Rattus norvegicus: one gene and its partners. The main gene of each other region encodes a partner of the protein of the gene in region 2 in a complex. Links are inferred from orthologs where the notes say so. Each region holds a gene or a part of one and is shown on either strand. Other genes may lie near its edges. The genes, in order: Anpep, Agt and Ren.

Region 1 (3,645 bases), on a different chromosome or scaffold from region 2:
TCAGCATCCATCTTGCCTAGCCAGTTTCCACTGGTACCCTGCATGTGACACAGTTCACTTTCTGGGCCTTTGCATGGAAGTGACCCCCTCGCTCCTGGCTCAGCACTCCGGTCACCCCAGCCAGACTCTACCGTCGACCGTTAGAGGGTCCCTGGATGTTTCTGACTGCATGCCTTCCTTCACCTGCTTCTGAGCGACTGGCCTTTGTCTCTGACTCCCCTCAGTATCTGGTCCCATAAGGCAGCTCCTTGTACCTGCCAATCACTGTCCTGAGCATTTTACTAGAAATCTCTCCTATCATTCTCTCACCACTCAAAGGAGCAGGAAGACCAGAGGGGAATGGTAGCTTGCCTGAGACCACAAAGAAGCAAGGTGACCATTGGAAACGAAGATAACAGCTCCATTTGTTGAGTGAAATAATGAAGGGAATCTTCACTCAGCTCTCCCCAAACCCACAACCCCACCCCACCCCACTCCCCGAAGAACACGGGCCAAGAGCCAGCAGATAAGATGGGGCTAGGTTACTTTTCTCGGTCTCCAGCCAGTAGTGATCCTCCTTTCCATTTTTGAGATACGGAATGGGCACAATCCAGAGGTAACTGCAGTGAGAGACCATGACCCAGAGTGATGATGGGTAACTCTTGGGCACGCCAGCCTAAGGTACCCCTCTCAGGTGCCCACTGACCGCCCAACACTGATACCAAATGTCACTGAGCTCCTAACCGTACACACTCACCTCCCTTGTGTCCCACCCTTCCCAGGGACCCTGGTGGCATTATCTGCTCACTTAAAATCTGAGGGGCGGGTAGGTTTGGAAGTGGGGTCCAGGAGGAAGTGTTCCTGGTAGATTTCTCCCGTACTGGTGTTCACAGTGATAACAGGAAAACCCATCTGTAGAATCCATCGGTCCATGATGGTGCTCACTGAGGCTGGGAGTTTGATAGCTGTCTGACTGTCCACTGCCTGTTCAGGGGACACAGTGTGGCTGTCAAACCACTATCCTCCCACACCCAGGCAGCCTCTGCGGATTCTGGCCAGCCTAGGAGTGTGGTGTCACTAATTCAGGGAAGTGGGGCAGAGGATAAGGGAGCCTGTCTAGCTCTGTCTCTCCTGGTCTGCCCAGAGCTGGGTGAGCTGAGCTGCAGAACCTCTTGGCTTCTAGCTAGTTTCATTGTTGGCACACCTGTATGTGGCCCCCAGATATGGCCCATGCCTAGGGCACTTTCTGAATGTTTAGAGATGAGAAGAACAAAGAGGAGACAAAACGTTGCCCGAGGTCACAGGCAGGAGCAAGGGAAAGGGCTGTGGGTCTGAAAAGGGCTGTGGGTCTGGAGGCAAAGTACCCCCGGTAGAAGAGAATGGGATGCCAAAGCCCTTGTTACTGTCCACTCAGGTCTATCTCATCGTTTCCAAACGCTTGGGCAGTACTTTTGTAATCACAGCAAAAAGCCAGTGGCATCTGCTAGTAACTGAAGCTGTGAACCCCTGAAAGCTGGGCAGAAGAGAAGCTGTCAGTAAGCAAAGTTCGGGGTGGGGGGGGGCAGTAGATGGGGAAGGGAAGGAGGTAAGCTTTGGTGGAGGGCAGGAAGGCAGGTGGTAGAGGAAGGATCCCAGAAGGCGCCACCCAGTCAACTGCCAATCAGGGTGGAGAGGTTGGGTCTGCAGATGGGGTGAGGGGGAGGGGAAGGGGTGGGGTTAGGGGGTCGTGATCTTGAGACTAGGTCCTGCCCAGTTGTGACTCTGTGACATCCCCTGCCCAGTGAGATGGCCTCGGGGGCCCAGAAAGACACAATAGAGCAGCCAGGGAGTTGTTGGACAGGATGTCAAGGCCCTAGGACTCTTGGAAGAGTAAGGATGGAGGAGAGGTAGGCTAGGCAGAGGAAGAGTGGGCAAAGTCTGTAGAGAAGACTGGAGGGCACGGAGGGGGAGGGGAGACAAAGTGACAGGGGCTCATGGGAAGGGTGGACTCCAGCCTGAAAGAGAGGCAGGACAGAGAGCAGCCTCTGGGCAAGGCAGGAGGGCTTGGAATGTGAGGAAGCTGGCACAGAGGGTCAGAGTCTGCATCCATTGTGCTGGTGTGTGCAAGGATGTGCCAGGTAGGGAAGGCCACGGGGCACAGGGCAGCTGGGAGGGGTGAGTCAGTTAAATGGCTGGTTCCAAAGTTCTGGCAGAGGAAAGCAAAAAAGGAGGAGGAGAAAGAAGAGGAAGGGGATAGAGGAGTAGTCTGGTGTAGGAGCCCTGAGGCTCATATTCTCAGTGCTAAGTGACCCACAAGGCTCACCGCGGTGCAGCTAAGCAAGAACCCGAAGTGGGTCAGCTCTGGTGGTGCAGGTGCTAGGATATGCTGAGGAGGGAGAGGCAGGCGGATCTCTGGGTTCGAGGCCAGCCTGGTCTACAGGATAAGTTCCAACAGCCGGAGCTATACAGTGAGAGCTTGTCTCAACAAAACAAAAGAAAAAGCTGGATGTCTTGGCGTGCATCTATAATACCAGCAGTCCCTCCTAAGGGAAGATGGGGAGTGTTCATGCAGAGAAACAAGGTATCCCCTGCCTCAGAAACAAGATGGGAGAAGCAACTGAAGAGAACCCTTTTAAAAAAATAAGGAAAAGGTGAGCTAGGAGCAGGGTTCTTACCCACCCTCTTTATGGATCCATCTTTATACCCATTTTATAGATGAGCCACTGAGGCTCCCGACAGTTTGCCAGGATTACTGAATGCAACAGCTGGGTACAGTCTCTCACATGCTGTCCCCAGGGACTTTGGGCCTTAGGACCTGAATGGAAAAGGCTTGTTACCTGCTGAAGGTGTTCCCACAGGTCCAGATAAATGGTGTTCGAGTATTGGAAGGTGTGGAGGTAAGACTGTGGAGATAACAGACCTTGGTAAGGGCTGGGTTATGCTGGGGGAAACCACCATGCAGAGGCCCTGCCTGGAGCTATACTCACCGAAAGGCCCTTCTTGAACAGGTCCTCTGTCAGGAAGCTGGACAACATCCTAAGGACTGAGGCTCCCTGGGGTTGGATGAGAGAGATCAGCAGGCCAAGCTGGCTACCAGGGGAAGCATTCCCAGAGTGGCAGCTGTGATGAGGCTCCCTGTGGGATGTATCCCTTCCCACCCCAACTCCACGACTCCCAGGGCCCCCAAGAAGCCAGGAGGCACCTTGCTGTAGGTGATGCTGTCAAACAGCTCACTGATCTGGGCTGGCGTGTTGACCTCGTTGGCAGGGCTGGACAACGGGTGGGAGGAAGCGAGCGCGTCCACGGCCATCACACGGTACACATCATTCAGTACTATGAGGTCTTTCTGTGGAGTCCCCAGATACCATCAGGAGACCAGAAGGGGTGTCATAGACACTCCGGTCTTCCACTTCGGCCCCACTCCCACAATGGAGTCTCACCAGATTCCAGGTGGGCTCTGCATAGTCAGCACCCAGAAATTCCACATAGGAGGCAAAGCCCTCGTTCAGCCACAGGTCATTCCACCAATCCACGGTCACCAGGTTGCCAAACCACTGCAGGGGACACAGGCGAGCCTTTGAGCCTCACAGGCCTTGCCGTCACTAATGGCACATAGCCATGCACTGGCTGTGTACTGACACAGGCCAGGTGAGGACTTGACATCCCAAGGTCTTTGCTCCTTCTTGG
Region 2 (3,645 bases):
TGGGCAGCTGTCTGCCCTTCGTTCTCAGCCCGGCTGCGTGAGGAACACCTTCCCTGGAAAAGCCAAAGATGCTTTTGAGTAACTGGCTATTAGCCTGACAGACAGAGCACCTCAACCCTATCATCCAGGCGCTTGAGAAGCAGAGGTGGGGGAATTACCACAAACTCTAGATGCTCTCTAAAAACCAAAATGCTAATGAGATAGTGCCCACCCCTGCTGGATAGTTTTATGTCAACTTGACACAAGCTAGAGTCTCAACTAAGAGAGCGCCTCCTTTAAGATCAGGCTGTAGGCAGGCCTGTAGGGCATTTTCTTAATTAATGATTGATGGGGGGAGGGGCCAGCCCATAGTGGGTGGTTCCACCCTGGAATGGTGGTCCTGTTTCTATAATAAAGCAGGCTGGCCAAGCCAGGAGGAACAAGTCAGTGAACAGCGCCCCTCCATGGCCTCTGCATCAGCTCCTGCTCCCAGGTTCCTGCCGTTTGAGTTCCCGTCTTGTCTTCCTTCAGTGATGGGCTATGATCTAGAAGTGTAAACCAGATAAACCCTTTCCTCCCCAACTTGCATTTTGGTCACGATGCTTCCTTGCAGCAAATATTAACCCTAAAAACAGCCCCAGTTGGGTCCTTGCCTCCCCGTGGAGGAAGGTAGTATCCGTAACCTCACAGATAACAGCCATACCCGCAACCACACTGCTCCCGATGGCAGGATGTGGGAGGGGTGGTGACAGGACAGACCTGGACAGGCTGACGTGTGAGCGTGCATTGGATGCAAATCTACTTCCCAAGGGTCCCACATGCTTCCTACCGAGGAGGCGGGTTCTTTATCCAAGTCAGGAAGTCGTGCTGGAAGACGAGGACCTCCACCCTGTCGAGATCTGAGGCGCACTGGGGCTGGATCAGCAGCAGGGTGACACTCTCACCCAGGGGCACGCGTGTCACGGAGAAGTTGTTCTGGGCGTCACTCCAGTGCTGGAAGTTGCCAGTGCCCGAGAGCATGGGCACAGACACTGAGGTGCTGTTGTCCACCCAGAACTCATGGAGCCCAGTCAGCTGGGAGAAGCCTCTCATCTTCCCTGAAAGCAACAGAGACCAAAGGAAACTCAACGGGGGTAGGATGGGGAGGCAGGGCTGGGACTCTTCCACCCTGGCTCCTGCCTCAGCTTCCTCACCTCTACTCCCTCTGTGATGCTGTACTGACCTGGAGATGTCACCTTCAGGTGCTCTCTGATGCTACTTCTAATTGTAGCCACTTGAGTTCCCTGCAGAGACCCCAAGAGCAGCAAAAAACACAGCCCATGTTGGTGTGGAGTCTGAGGTCTCACATGGGACACCCGAGGGACTCAGTCTGCTCCTACCTGAACAGACAAGCTCAACCCAGACCTGTTCTGGTTTGCAAACTCACTCTTTAGAACCTCAGACATTATTATGGTCTGGAGAGATGGCTCCATGGTAACTTGGCTCTATAGGCCTGATGACCTGCACCTACAGCCCCAGTCCCTCGTAAGAGCCAGGCATTGGGCTGGAGAAATGACTCAGCGGTTAGGAGCACTGACTGCTCTTCCAGAGGTCCTGAGTTCAAATCCCAGCAACCACATGGTGGTTCACAACCATCTGTAATGGGAACTGATGCCCCCTTCTGGTGTGCAAGTGTACCTGCAGGCAGAACTCTATACATAATAAATAAATGAAGAAAAAAGAAATGAGAAATGTGAAACAGGACAAGGCTTTGAGAGAGATGTGAAGCTGTCTGTTTCCTGTTCTCCCTATGCTCCCCGGATCCTTCCCTGTTCAGCAGTCCTATTATGGACTGAGTAAACTTCCCCTGGTCATGTCCCTTAGTGTCATGGAACCCACCAGGGCTATTCAAGCTCTGGAGACATCAAGTACTGGGCAAAGAACACTGTAGAGACCACGAGCCCAAGGCCTTGAGGCTTCGCTAGATACAAATGCTTAACTGTCCCCAATGCTATTGCTAAGGGGACCTGGAGTTTGTGAGGCAGTCTGCAGCCTCATGGGTGTGAGGAAGAGGACAAGCCTCTGGCGGATGGAGATGGGCAGGAAAGGCCAAACAGCAGTGAGATCAGGACAGAGTACAAGTGAGCATCCAGGCCTCTGAGTGCTGGCACAACTCATTTTTTGCCCCACCCCCAACCTCTCCTCTTTTCCTTCCTCGTCTCCTTTTTTCTTTTCTTCCCTCTCCCTCTCTTCCTCTTCCTTCATTTTCCCACCCTCTTTTTCCTCTTCCTCCACTTCCCCCTCCCTTTCCTCTTTCTCCTCTTCCTCCTCCCCTTATTCCCCCTTCCTCCTGCCATTCTCCTCTTTTCCTCCTCCCATTCCTCCTCTCCCTCCCTCCCCCAATCCTCCTTCCCCTCTTCCCACTCCTCCTCTTTTCCTTCTCCTTCCCCTTCCTCTGCTTTTCTTCCTCCCATTCCTCCTCCTTCCCGTTCCTGTTCTCACTCCTCTCCCCCTCCCTCCTCACCTCCCTCTCCCCCCCCCTCCTCCACTCCTTCCCTTCGCCCTCCTCTGTTCCCTGCTGGCTCCAGAGTCTGGGGTGTGAAAACAGGCATTCTCTACAGCAAGCCATCACTGACACTGATGCCCTGTAGAAGTGCTCCTTTCTCAGTGATAGTCCTCCCAGGGTTTCCCACAGGGACTGTGGCTCAGTTCCGGGTTCCTTTCCGACTCACATGGGTGTAGCCACCCTCCACCAGCCTCAGGGTTACCTCTTTCCGTCCACATTCTACCCCCCACACCTTTCCCAGTCTCAAAGCAGGCCAAGGTCTTTCCCCACATGAATTTATAGGCTGCAAAGATATTGTCAGAGTGGCCCAGTCATCCCTGATCCTTCTACATCTACCCCAGACTGTGATGTCTCCCTGCTGCTGGCCCCATTGGTCACCCCTCCCCTAGTAACCATCAATCTGAAGACCTGGGGCCCTGGCACATGTTCTCAGGATGGTGTCCCTGGACCACTGCACACCCTGCACATACACACACACACACACACACACACACACACACACACACACACACACCTGCCATGCTGTTGTGGGCCAAGGTCCAATGTCCTAGGAATAAAACTGTCCCCCTCAGCCCACTGGAAAAAGAGCATCCTCCCAAGGTCTGCCCTCTCTGAGCCCAGCCCCTGCACACTCCTAACCTGGTCTCCCAAGGCTTTGCAAGGATGTCTGCCTGTGGCCTTCTCCAGCCTGTTACAACTCATTCCCTTCCTCTTCAGTTAGTGCTGTTCCCTGCAGTACTGCCCCAGGCATTTGCTCGGGGGGGGGGGGTGTCTCCATACTTGCTGACGTCTCTTGAGAAACCAGGAGGGTCAGGATCTCCTGCCCCTCAGAGCCCTCTGCCTGGTTTACAAGTAGTAAGAGGCCATAGAACAGATGGGCAACTTCTCAGACAGGGATATACGGCAGCTCCCCGTGTGAGGGAGGGAGTAAGCTGGGTATTCCTGCGTGGGTCAGCCACTCTAGCCTCAAGAGCATCACCCAGCCCAGAAGGGCAGTTGGGCAGGGCCATGCCATCTTGAGTCAGGTTATCTTTTTTGGCCTCCAGGGAGTCACTGGTAACACAGAGGCAGAAACCTGTCATCTCTGTCCCTCTCACGCATGAACCATGGGGATGCCATAG
Region 3 (3,645 bases), on a different chromosome or scaffold from region 2:
GGAGGTTGAAGTGCAACCTCTTTGGCAGCTTCCAGTAGAGCAAACTGGCTGACACTGATGGACATGGACAAGGCTTTACGTTAACGTACATGTGGGTGTACCTAAAGCCCAGTTTCCTTCCTAGTAACCTGTCAGACTTTGCTAGTTGAGAGCAGGCTTGGAGCATTGAAATTAGGAACCAGGGTTTTGTGGCAGGGCGATTTTGCTTTCTTTCAGTCAGTGCCTAAGCCTTCGCTGCTCTGGCGTCTCTCAGCCCTGCTGTGCCAGAGGTAGGAAGAGACACATATAGGAGCCCAGAGGAAATCAGTGCAAGCCCTTCCCTCTCCCCATGCCTGTGGAATCTGGGGGAGGGGCAGAAAGGGAAGCCCTGGTTATAGTGAGGAAATCCTCAGCCTTGGCTGGTAGGGCTAGCATGAAAGTAGGCCTCGGGGAAGGTGCAGATCACCTGTCTGGCAGGACCTCTTTCTCAGCCCTTATAGCACTAGTCACCCCCCTCTTTCTGGCCCCCAAGCATAGAGGTGTTGAGACAGTGTGTGCACATTTGGCGAGATAGTCTCACCTTCACGGCTGTACAGAACCTGTATCCCTGGGGCCCCTGGTGTGAAAGCCAGAGCAGATCCCAGCCAAGGTTGGGCAGTAACCTCTGTCCCTTATGTTTCTTCTCTCACAGGTGGGTGGAATCATTGTGACACAGACCTTTGGAGAGGTCACCGAGCTGCCCCTGATACCCTTCATGCTGGCCAAGTTTGACGGGGTTCTGGGCATGGGCTTCCCTGCTCAGGCTGTTGATGGAGTCATCCCTGTCTTCGACCACATTCTCTCCCAGAGGGTGCTAAAGGAGGAAGTGTTTTCTGTCTACTACAGCAGGTGGGCCTTTGACTTCAAGGTCAGGGCAGGGAGGGGAGGACAGCTGGGAGGACGGCAAAAGTCCAGTCCAGGATTTACATGCTCCTGATTAGGTGGTCCTCAATCCATATCTAGAACCACACTAGCCAATTAAAATGAATGCAAGTCAAACATTCGGTCCTGAGGGACTGGCCACACAGACACGGCTGGCTTCATGTCTTTGCTGGCACCTTTATCTGTCCTCTCATTGATCCGCTCTGTGCTCTGTTTCCATGCTCTGTGGTGGGCTCCAGGGGTGCACAGTCCACAAGACAATCCCTACCCTCCATCCTCATAGATCTTACTGCCCAGCAGGGGAGACGAGAAATACAGTACAGTGAGTGTCATTCTGAAGCTGCAGATGGTTTTTCAATTCTAGGCCAGGATTCTGGGCAGTTCAGCCAGCTTTGGAGAAGCTGTGGTCAGTGCCCCAGCGGGGCTGGGATCTGCTGCCACAGGCCGGGTTTAGAAAGATGGTCTGAGCTGGAGGTAAAATCATTACTGGTAAGAATAGAGGCCAGGGGTGGCGAGACTGGAAGGGAGGAGTAGACTAGAACAATCTCAGAGGAAGCAGGAATTTCTGGATCATGGCTCCGGCAGATTTCTGTGCAAAGAGAGGCATTGAGCAAATGACACCTCCCGGAGTCTCCTGCGGTCAGTGGTCTTGGGGTTGTGCTTCAAAGAGACCAGAAAAACAAAGTGGCTAAGAGTGAAAGTAGATGTCAGAAAGAGGTGTCGGGGGGTGGGGGAGCAAGTCCACAAAATGTGGACTGCTCTGGAAAATTCAACAAAGAAGGAGATGTGGGGCAGGGTGTGCGGTGAGATCCAGAGAGAAGAAGGAGGGTGTTCTAAACGCTAGAGGATGCTTGAGTAATGCTGTGGGTAGAAAAGCCATGGGAAGACTAAAATGTGGGGAGCACATGCATGGGGCTCTGGAACAGGACCACAGAAGGAATGAGGCTCCAGCACAGGTAGCAAGCAGGCCTGGTAAGCAGGGGCCCTCTTCCCTTCCCTTGGGCTGAGAAGCAGGAAGACCTAGATAAGTCACTGACTCTTGCACAGAACATGCACAACCTACCACATGTACACATGTGCACATACATGCGTGTATGTTGTGCACATACGTGTGTGTGTGTGTGTGTGTGTGTGTGTGTTTCGAATTCTAAGAAACTCCTTCATATATACACGAGTACCTTAAAAACCAGTCCGAGGCAGGCCTGGGCTGAAGTAGCATGATGCATGTGGAGAGGAAAGTGAGGGCAGTCAGCTTTGACTGAGAATGAGAGTGTGGCCCCAGCCATCGTGTGTCCACCAGGGTCTCACCATCTGGTGACTCAATTGCCTGGAGGGCAAAAATTAGCCTCTACTTCTAAACAACAGGGTTGCTGAATCTTGCCTAAGAAGAAGGTCTCCCTTCTGTGTCCCTCTTTGCCTCAGCAGAAATCTTAAGGAGAGAGGAGCCCCAATGGGGCCCCAAGCTCCACTATTTCCCAGACCCTTATCCCAGAATCATACCCACCCTCCCACACATCCACTCATCAGACCCAGCTCCACTAAAGATCTGCCTTCTTCCCTCTACACACTCTAGTCATGTCTGCCTTCTCCCCAGAGTCTGCCCCACACACCCGAGAAAGGCACAATTTACCGCCATTTGCATCTACCCAGTGTCCTTGAACTAGATGGTTTTCTGGGGGGCAGTCGGACAGTCCTAGAAATACTTCGGTTACATTAAGGGAGGGGCCAGCATGGGGAGAAGCAACAGGGTCTATGTGTCTCCTGATGACAGCTTACGACCTTGCCATCTACCCACAGAACCCTTCCTCTGCCCCAAAACCCGCCTGCACCAGACTGGACTTTCCCTCATCCCCTAGTCTCCAGTGTGTCTCTAAGCTTCGCCGCTCTTTCCTTTAGGGAGTCCCACCTGCTGGGGGGCGAAGTGGTGCTGGGAGGCAGTGACCCTCAACATTACCAGGGCAACTTTCACTACGTGAGCATCAGCAAGGCCGGCTCCTGGCAGATCACCATGAAGGGGTCAGCAGTTGTAACCCTTCCAACCATCCAAATGCATGTCACCATGTGATCGGGGCAGGATGGGGATGGGACAGGGGGGCCACCCCTTAAGGCACAGCCACCATCTGCTTTCTGTGTGCTCTGTCCAGGATCGGGGCATGAAGATTTGAGGGTGGGACTGGGATGGAAGGGACTCAGGGAAAGGAGGTGGAGTCTGGAGGCTACCGTGTTGATGGCAAGGAACAGTCAGTACCTTTCTTTAGTGCCTCAGCCCTCCTCCAGGTCACCACCAGAACACTTATATGGCCTCCCATCACTCCCTAAATTGGGAAAGGCATGCAGCCGGGGGTGAGGATGGAGGTGGGGTCTGTTGCCTGTCTAACTGTAGCCTCCACAGGGTCTCTGTGGGGCCTGCCACCTTGTTGTGTGAGGAGGGCTGTATGGCAGTGGTGGACACTGGCACATCCTATATCTCGGGCCCTACCAGCTCCCTGCAGTTGATCATGCAAGCCCTGGGAGTCAAAGAGAAGAGAGCAAATAATGTAAGAGAGCTGGGTGGCGTCAAAGGGCGGGCGGCGGTGGTGAGGGGTGGTGGCAACAGCACCATCTGGCTCCAGCCTGCAAACTGTCCAGACCACACTGGGTCCGAAACAAAGCCTTCCCCTCCTCACCTCTCCCACTCCCTGAATGTACGGTATGTCTCCCATAGAAGGTGACCAGGGACTGTGTCCAGGACTCTCAGTTACAGGG

Evidence for each region.
Region 1: the proteins of Agt (region 2) and Anpep are in contact, whole or in part, in a crystal structure (PDB 4FYS), measured with the Homo sapiens proteins. The link is inferred for Rattus norvegicus from reciprocal best matches to the Homo sapiens genes AGT and ANPEP. Residues at the interface, in NP_001369746.2 of Homo sapiens: Val27, Tyr28, Ile29, His30, Pro31, Phe32; in NP_001141.2 of Homo sapiens: Gln211, Gln213, Ala351, Gly352, Ala353, Met354, Glu355, Arg381, Val385, His388, Glu389, His392, Glu411, Glu418, Asn438, Arg442, Phe472, Tyr477, Ile864, Phe896, Ser897, Asn900, Gln903, Ala904, Arg907.
Region 3: the proteins of Agt (region 2) and Ren are in contact, whole or in part, in a crystal structure (PDB 6I3F), measured with the Homo sapiens proteins. The link is inferred for Rattus norvegicus from reciprocal best matches to the Homo sapiens genes AGT and REN. Residues at the interface, in NP_001369746.2 of Homo sapiens: Asp25, Tyr28, Ile29, His30, Pro31, Phe32, His33, Leu34, Val35, Ile36, His37, Asn38, Glu39, Lys91, Leu92, Ala95, Met96, Met99, Leu100, Phe103, Arg107, Arg148, Ala151, Ile152, Gly154, Gln353, Gln354, Asn355, Asn358, Glu391; in NP_000528.1 of Homo sapiens: Tyr81, Met82, Thr84, Gln85, Val102, Asp104, Gly106, Ser107, Asn109, Ser118, Arg119, Leu120, Tyr121, Thr122, Val125, Tyr126, Leu147, Arg148, Tyr149, Ser150, Pro181, Ala182, Leu183, Pro184, Met186, Leu187, Ala188, Glu189, Phe190, Val193.

What each region holds. Positions count from the first base shown.
Region 1 is NC_086019.1:143,188,322-143,191,966, forward strand, and holds part of Anpep (aminopeptidase N), read right to left. Parts: intron 3,513-3,645; coding exon 3,399-3,512; intron 3,305-3,398; coding exon 3,161-3,304; intron 3,012-3,160; coding exon 2,946-3,011; intron 2,862-2,945; coding exon 2,796-2,861; intron 964-2,795; coding exon 788-963; intron 600-787; coding exon 526-599; intron 1-525. UniProt on the Homo sapiens protein: Broad specificity aminopeptidase which plays a role in the final digestion of peptides generated from hydrolysis of proteins by gastric and pancreatic proteases.
Region 2 is NC_086037.1:69,428,351-69,431,995, forward strand, and holds part of Agt (angiotensinogen precursor), read right to left. Parts: intron 1,723-3,645; exon of another isoform or gene 1,077-1,722; coding exon 809-1,076; exon of another isoform or gene 1-808. UniProt on the Homo sapiens protein: Essential component of the renin-angiotensin system (RAS), a potent regulator of blood pressure, body fluid and electrolyte homeostasis.
Region 3 is NC_086031.1:47,354,721-47,358,365, forward strand, and holds part of Ren (renin precursor), read left to right. Parts: intron 1-670; coding exon 671-867; intron 868-2,796; coding exon 2,797-2,916; intron 2,917-3,292; coding exon 3,293-3,437; intron 3,438-3,645. UniProt on the Homo sapiens protein: Renin is a highly specific endopeptidase, whose only known function is to generate angiotensin I from angiotensinogen in the plasma, initiating a cascade of reactions that produce an elevation of blood pressure and increased sodium retention by the kidney.